Linked DNA regions of Ovis aries. The main gene of each other region encodes a partner of the protein of the gene in region 2 in a complex. Links are inferred from orthologs where the notes say so. Each region holds a gene or a part of one and is shown on either strand. Other genes may lie near its edges.

The links.
Region 1: the proteins of SORT1 (region 2) and GRN are in contact, whole or in part, in a crystal structure (PDB 8T8S), measured with the Homo sapiens proteins. The link is inferred for Ovis aries from reciprocal best matches to the Homo sapiens genes SORT1 and GRN. Residues at the interface, in NP_002950.3 of Homo sapiens: Leu108, Gly110, Ser111, Val112, Ser113, Leu114, Ile174, Gly175, Pro176, Lys260, Tyr304, Ser305, Phe306, Gly307, Leu308, Phe314, Ala315, Ser316, Arg325, Ile327, Phe350, Tyr351, Ser352, Ile353, Leu354, Tyr395, Thr398, Gly399, Thr402, Phe404; in NP_002078.1 of Homo sapiens: Pro578, Arg579, Trp580, Asp581, Ala582, Pro583, Arg585, Arg590, Gln591, Leu592, Leu593.

The regions. Positions count from the first base shown.
Region 1 is NC_056064.1:43,885,656-43,890,064, reverse strand, and holds the start of GRN (progranulin), read right to left. Parts: upstream 2,803-4,409; 5' UTR 1,122-2,802; intron 1-1,121. UniProt on the Homo sapiens protein: Secreted protein that acts as a key regulator of lysosomal function and as a growth factor involved in inflammation, wound healing and cell proliferation. Regulates protein trafficking to lysosomes, and also the activity of lysosomal enzymes.
Region 2 is NC_056054.1:86,597,061-86,600,870, forward strand, and holds part of SORT1 (sortilin), read right to left. Parts: intron 1,542-3,810; coding exon 1,439-1,541; intron 1,098-1,438; coding exon 929-1,097; intron 339-928; coding exon 148-338; intron 1-147.

The DNA.
Region 1 (4,409 bases), on a different chromosome or scaffold from region 2:
GTGCCAAGAAGCATTTGGCAACTGGCTTAAGCTGAGGCCACCCTTGATTCTGGGACCAGTCACTGCCCCCTGCCGAAGGCCCAGGACCATCTGAGCCTCCACAACAACAGCCTGTCCGGGCAAGAAGATGCGGGGCTTGAGGCTCAGCTTCCTACGTGTGTCCTGTGCGGGGGTCACACGTGCACCAGCGAGTGTACATCCATGAGCATGAATGCTGGCATGCGTACGTGAGTGAATCTGTGTCCCCAGTGCATGGCCTAACAGTTGAATCTCTGTGGCTGAGTGTGTGCAGATGTGGGTATGTGAGAGTCCGGAAGATCTGTGGGTTTTGTGGGCCTGAGCTGTGGGGAGGTAAGCCACCTCCATGGGGGTGGGAAAGACATCAGTTGCCCTAGGAAGAAAGAACTGAAGTCTCCCCTTGAAGGAAAGCCAGGGTTTCACTTCCCGAGCCAGTGCCTCCAGTTGCCTCTTCACCCAATGCTGTGTTCACACCTGCCCTCTGCTAAGGCCTGCTGGCAGGGGAGGGGAGGTCACATGATGACATGATCAACCACGGGGTTGAGAAAGTTGTGAAAAAGGAAGCATGATGTTGACGGAGTCTGGGCTGCCTTCCCCAAAGGCCAGCCACCACCTGCCTGCTGACTGTCCCCTCCCCATCCAAAGGAGACGCATAGGCTTGGTCAACCTTTGGGTCACCTGTGCTCCATGGGCCCCCAATACAACCAGGACCTTTCTTTTAAAAATTTTTTAATTAAAAAAATTGGGGGGCCATGCCCATGCAGCATGTTGGTTCTTAGTTCCCTGATCAGGGATTGAACCCATGCCCCCTACATTGGGAGCTTGGAGTCTTAACCACCAGACTGCCAGGGAAGTCCCACACCAGGCCCTTTCAGGATCCTCAAACATTCCCACCACCCTTCCCCTCCACCTCTCCCTATCCTGGAGCAGAAACCCAGCTGCATGTAGAGAGCCCATGTGTGCCCACCAGGCTGCCATCCACATCAGCAGAAGGAAGCAAGCCTCATTCTCTGAAGGGGAGTGGCCTTTCACTTCCTGAACAACTCTTCCCCCAAGCTCAGCCAGCCCTGCTAGTTCAATGGGGCAGGCCCAGAAGATCTTACCCTGTCTAGAGGGGCCAAAACAGTCATGTGTGCTGAACCAGTTAGAAGCCAGTGACAACATTCTACATATTTTCTTTTTTTTTTTTTTCTGTAACAACCATGCAAAGTAGGAATTATTACCTTTACTTTTCTAAGGAGGAAACTGAGGCTTAGAGATAGGAAGTAACCCGCCTATGTCAAATATCAAAACATAGAGATGACAGGCTCTGATGGCTCCAGAGTATATTGGACCTGGGTTCACAAGTGGTACCACGGACAGTGCCTGGGACAGGCCCCCCAAACCCAAGGAGGATAGAAGCCTGGTGTCCAAGCAGAGAAGAGGGATAGAAATGTTTCTCTGGGCAAGTAGACTGGACCCAGACAGAAATGTGGGGTACAGGGGCTGCCTGGATACTGCACATGAGTGCTAGAATGAAGGCCTCAGAAGTTGCTTCCTGTCTTTAGGCCTCAGTTCTCAGTCAGTCTATGGGTGGACACTGCACACTTTGTGTGGCAGAGAATAGCACACACAGGGTCACTCACATCCTCTCTCCCTCACCTGGCTTTCCTCACCGCCCTCTCCCCAACTCAAAGACCACCCCCTGGAGGCTATCTCCTGTACAGGAGAGGCTGAAGAAGACTGGTCCTGGACCTTGGCCCCTTTCACTCTCTTCCCCAATGCCCACAGCTCCCTGGAAAGGGAGCTGGCCGCCCTGCTTTTTAGGAGTCCAATCATAACCCTGCAGACTCGCTGGCCTGCCCTGGCCAGGAGGGATGCCTGTCTGCACACATCTCTGACTACTCAGCACCCTAGTGATTCATTTAGGTACATCCTTCTTCCTGGGTATCCTGGGGTTTGGAAGTAGTGTACGCTTCTACTGAATACACATATATGTACGCGCGCACACACACACTCAGAACCAGAATGGGGAAGAGGGAACCCAGTTCATCTCAGTAGGGTTCCAAGTGGTGGCACCCCAACCCGACACTGCCACTACAGAGAGGGAGGACACTGCCTCTTCAAGTCCCCAGCTCCGTCATCTTCCACTAGATGGCAGCCCCCCACTTCGAGTGCCAGGAGAAAGATTTCCCAAAAGGTGAGCCAACCCAACAGCGGAGAGAGCAAGAAAAAGTGGCCGGGGGAGGCGGAAGTTAGCCCCACGAGAGGAAGTTAGAGAGAGTCAGACACATCCCAGGGGTTCAATCACCACTCCCAAGTCCCTACTGTCTTTGAGGAGACCAGGATCACAAGCCCTACTCCCAGCCCTCTGAGCTCGGGGGCCAGGGGCGGGTGCCTCGCTTGCTGCCAGGCGCAGCGGGGACTGCCCACCAGCACCACTACCAGCACCTGCCGACGGGGGCGGAGTCGACTCAAGAACAGAGTGATCTCTGCTTTGGGAGAAGGGGCTGCAGCCTCCAGGGGTGCTGGAGAGAGAGCCCCTTCTAATGGGGGTCACTGCAATTACTGTTTACTCCCACCACCCATAAAACTCCCTCCAGTGCATCGGAGTTTCTATAAGAGAATCTTTTTTTTTGTATCACCGCTGAAACTCCAGAGGAGCCCCATCTCCCACGTCCCCCAGGCTGGGCCCCTAAGAAGGAGCAAGCGAAGTCCACCCTCCTTACCTGCGTCGGGGTCCGCGATCGCTGGGTAGCAGCGGTCAGGCAGCTCATCCACTTGGGCCACTCGGCTCGATGGCCCACCCACTTCAATTTCCATTGGTCAGGTGTCCGGAATGTCGCACTCCCATTGGCTACTCGTCGACGTAAAGGCGGGGCCAACCTGGGATCCTGTGTTTCTTTTCCTACTCAATTCACTCCCCTCCCTCCTTCCTCTCTCTCCCCAACCCCCCATTTCTAGGGATCATGTGATTGGAGAATCATGTGACGCCCTGGGACGGCTCAGCCTGCTTGCGGGTGCCCGCTGCCTTCTGTTAACCCATCCCGAGAGTCAGCTCCTTTTCGGGGACATTGAGAGCCAAGAGATCTGTCCCTTAGTGGGTGCGTTCAAGAGCATTTAAGGGGTGTCTCTTGGATTTAGAACAGTTGTGCATCCTGTCTCTATTCTGTTCATCCCATGCAGATTTAGTGCTCGGCAGCCGGGCCCCAACGGGGACTGAAGGAGAGTTGTGAGGGCAAGGATAAACAGACCTCAGGTCCTTTCCTCAAGGTGCTCACAGCAGGGGATGGGGAGGGGGTAGGAGAATCGTGTTCCAGGTGCTCCAGGTGTGTGTAGAGAAGAAGTAGTTGGTTAGATCTGAGCAGGAAAAAAGTGCCACCTTGGGGGCACTTTTTGAAGCTGAGTCTGGGAGGATTTTAAGTGGCAAGTGGAGACGGGTTGGAGAAGTAGCTAGACAGAGGGTATTGGGAAAAGCATTAGAAAACCAGATGGAAGGGCAGCCTTGGGCGGGGATTGAATGCCAGGTTCAGTGAAGTGGACTTGTGGAGTTGCTGGGTGTGTGGCACCAGGCTGGGCTGACTGTGGGTGTGGGTGCATACCGGAAGTAGCTCCTTAGTTTCAGTCAAGCCCTTACCTTTCAGGAATTGATTTGTTGATGCGCGCGTTAGCGAGCGTGTGTACTCGGTCGTATCCGACTCTGCGACCCCATGAACTATATAGCCCACAAGTCTCTGTCCGTGGAATTTTCCAGGCAAGAATATAGGAGTGGATTGCCATTCCCTTCTCCAGGGATGAAACCGCAGTCTCCTGGGTCTCCTGCTTTGCAAGTAGATTCTTTACCACTGAGCCACCAGGGAAGCCGTAAAGTGAAAGTGTTAGTCGCTCAGTTGTGTCCGACTTTTTGAGACCCCATGGACTGTAGCTTTCTAGGCTCTTCTGTCCATGTAATTCTCCAGGAAAAAATACTGGAGTGGGTAGCCATTTCCTTCTCTAGTGGATTTTCTCAACCCAGGGATCAAACCTGTGTCTTGCACATTGCAGGCAGATTCTTTACCATCTTAGCCACCAAGGAAGCCAGTGAGGGAGAAAAAAAAAAAACCGCACAGAACAGATTCACCAGCAGCAGGAGCTAGACTGCTTGGTGCCCTTTATGGGGCCTGGCCCAGGCAGAGGTGGGTGATGGGAGATGTACCAGGAGATACTAGAGGAAGCCTGAAGCCGGATCTTGGAGGAAGGGCAGTGTTTGGTTGCCAAGTGGATGGGAAGCACTGTAGGTTAAGCAGAGAGCTTGGGGTGAGGCTGGGGTTGGGGACAAGTAGGCAAACTCAGGGATGGCGGGAGTCTGTGTAGGGAAGAAGTGGCAGAGTTGAGGAACTGTGTGACCTCGGTGCTCCGCCTGGGCCCACAGA
Region 2 (3,810 bases):
CTGCCTGCTCACCTACGTGGAGCATCCTTAAATCCTCTTTCATATACATGATTTTCTTATTCCAGTTAGAAGAAACTGAACTAGATGGGTTATTTAGGAAAATGGGTTTACAAGTTTCTGATAGAAAAGGTCAAAGAAGACACTCACAGTTCCTTTCGAGGATGTCTTTAAAGTCGACGGTGTAGGAGACCCACTGGCGAGCCAGGAAGGACTCTGTGAAGCCCCAGATGCTGATGTTCATGGACCTGGCTCCAGGCTCTGAAGCCAGGCCCGTAAAGTAGATAGGCTCCCTGGTAAACGTGTAGGTTTGCCAGCACTGGCCCTCGTCTGTGGAGAACCTGAAACCACAGTTAGAGGGAGACCGTGACAAAGGACCAGCGTTTACCGGAGTATCAGGAAACTGCTCCAGCTGTTTCCATCCCAAATCAGAGAACTCTCATATTTAGGTGACGGCTTACCGACTGACAACTATATTAATTTCTAATGCCTGCAGTTCACAAGGAAACGGGATTCACTCAAACAGTATGGAAGAAAACGCATTTATAAAAATTCTTCCAAGGGCAAGAAAGAATAGTGACCCATATAAGAATGGGCTTCTGAATCAATAAACAGAAATTATACAATAAGAACTTGTATTTAAGGAGTCATTTCCCATCCAGAGTGCTTCAATGCATCCATAATATTCTTGTGGGAAGAAAGAAGAACATTTTTTTTTAAGTGATTAAAAATGTTAGCTAGCAGAGTCAGAGGAAAAACACAAAGCCATTTAATTTGAGTTGCTCTTAATGCAACCCCTTCAAGCACCTCCCCTGCAGCTCTGCAGAATGCCTAAATCTGAATCAGGGTCCAGAACTTCCCCACAAACTGAAAAACATCCCGGGGTAGCCCTCTGGGCAGACAGTGTGGGTGGAGCTGAGCTCATGCATACTTAATCACATTGATCGGATGGCTGCTGTGCTCAATGGCTACGATGATGCCTCCAGAATCCAGGATGGTGTAATAGTGGGGTCCTTCCAGCATCTTCATCCAGGAGTAACCCCCGTCATCTGAGATGTACACATCTGGGACCATCACGGAGATGGCATCTCCCACGCTACCTACAACACAGCCCACCATCTCATCAGCACACATCAGCAGTGAAACAGAGAGGATTCACTGTCACAAGAATTCTGAATGAGTTTATTCAGATTATTTCCCATCAGGCCTCTTGGAAGAAAAAAAATAGGCCACAACAGTTTGGTAAAGGAAGAGGTCATGCTGCTGCTCTCTGATAGGAGTCCATGAAAAACCCAAGAAATTCTTGGGTTTATCTTGCAAGAAATTCTGCAAAGGGTGGTAAAAGCCACGGATGGTGGTTTTCTTACAGGGTTCAATGCTATGACTGAGCTTCAATGTGCTCAACTAGTTCTTCCCACAGAGGTGAGGGAGGGCTGCTTACCATGGGCAATGACTATGCCAACAGCATTAGGCTCTGACAGTGGGGCCATTGGAACGTTTAGTTTCTGAGAGATGCTATAGGAAGCATGGATATGAAGGCTGCACTGTGGAAAGAAACCAAAGCGTACATTAAAACCAAAGGTGTAAATTTTTTTATTCATCTCACAGAGTCTTCTAATAATAAGGCTTTTTAACTTAATAACCCAGACTTCAGTGGGATACTCTTCTTTTTAAAATTGTGGTTAAAATAACATACCATAAAATTTACATTTTAAAGGGTGCAGTTCAGTAGCGTTAAGGACATTCACACTGTTGTGCAGCCATCACCATAATTCATCTCTGAGACTTCCACGTCTTGCAAAACTGAAACTTCTGTGTCCATTAAACCATAACTGCCTATTCCCCCTTTCCCAGACCCTGGTATTCCCAGACCCTGACACCACTCTACTTTCTTTCTCTATAAATGTGATTATTAAATTATTATTAAATGCATTATGCATTTAAGAAGCAAGAATATCCCACTGAGCCTATAATTCAATAACAACAAAAAAAACAAATAACCCACATTAAAAATGGGCAAAGGACTTGACAAGACATTTCTCTAAAGAAAATGAGAGGCTTCCCAACTTGATGACTGCCTGCCGTATTTCAGATACTGAACAAGATGTGGTGATTTGAAATAAGACCCAGTCCTGTCTTTAAGAAACATTTCTTAGAAATTAGTTGAGTTATAAAGCAGGATGGCAATCCTTTAAAGGATGCTTTAAAAGAGGTTCGGGAGACTTCCCCGGTGGTCCAGTGGTTAAGACCCTACCTTCCAATGCAGGGAGTAAGGGTTTGATCCCTGGTCAGGGAACTAAGGTCCCACATGCCACAGGGTGTTGCCAAGAAAATTACAAAAAATAAACAAGTAAACAAAGAGGTTCAAATTGGTTAAAATGTTAATTTTATGCCATGTGCAATTTTATTGAAGTAAAAAAAGCTTCATGTAAACTGCTGATGAAATGAAGAGCAATGATTAGTTCTAACTAACCAGTCCATCCTAAAGGAGATCAGTCCTGAGTGTTCACTGAAGGACTGATGTTGAAACTGAAACTCCAATACTTTGGCCACCTGATGAGAAGAGCTGGCTCATTTGAAAAGACCCTGATGCTGGGAAAGATTGAGGGCAGGAGGAGAAAGGGACGACAGAGGATGAGATGGTTGGATGGCATCACCAACTCAATGGACATGAGTTTGGGTAAACTCTGGGAGTTGGTAATGGACAGGGAGGCCTGGGGTGCTGCAGTCCATGAGGTCATAAAGAGTTGGACATGACTGAGTAACTGAACTGAACTGAAGGACGGTCAGGATTTCCACTAACCCTAATGAACTGGGGGGAGGGGAGACAGGGACGCCCTCCCCAGGAATAACATGGGCTAGAGGCACATGCAGGGTGTTCAGGGAGCAGCAGAGTTACAAGGGGTGGGTCGGTGACAACGACAGTGAAATGGGCAACAACAATGAAAAGGCAGAAGAGAACCTGCCAGGGGAGGAGAGGACCTTCATTCACCAGATCATGGGCAAAAGAGAGCCACAAAGAGTGCTAGGGAGAGAGAGGCACAGCAGCATGAGGGTGGCAAGGTAAGTAAGGAGGCCACTGTGCCTGTGCCTGTGCCTGAGGTGGGAAGGGCAGGAGCAGGGCAAGGCTAGGGTGGAGGGGTGGGAAGGGGAGCAGGAGGGGAGAGACTCCACAATAGTCATGAAGAAACACAAGGGAGAGAGTGTGATGGGAATGGTGTGGGTACATTTATCTCCCACTGGTTGAGTCTCTTAAAACAGAAAGCCCAGTCAGGACAGCAGAGTACATACCAGCTGTAGGTAGGTACTCAGAAGAGAGCCTGGAATTACCAATGCTGTCACTTTTAAAGGAAACTCCCAGGGTTCTGCTAAGCTCCTCTCAAATTCTCTAAAAGAATCAGACACAAAGCTTGCTTTTTTTCTTTCCTGTCAAGACCTGTCACTCATGGAACCTGGATCTCCTGCAGCAATGCCTTTGAACCTCTAGTTTGTGGCCTTTCCTCAGAGGGCTCAGCTCTTGAATCCACATGTTAGACCAGGTCACCACCTACATCCACAGGCCATGTGGAGCGCTGGTGGATGGGAAGAGAGGCCAAGTTCTCCTCCATTTGTTTCTGGCCAATACAGCTTTGCACTGCTCATGAATGGCTGGTTAATGGCTTTCTGTAGAGTTGCTGAAGTCTCATAGCTGCCATCATGACTCCTAACTAATCACTGGCCCATCTGACCACTCTGTGTTCATTCAGCAATTTAGTATAACACAAACTGTTAGCACAAATTGCAGGTCAAGAGGCAACAGTTAGAACTGGACAT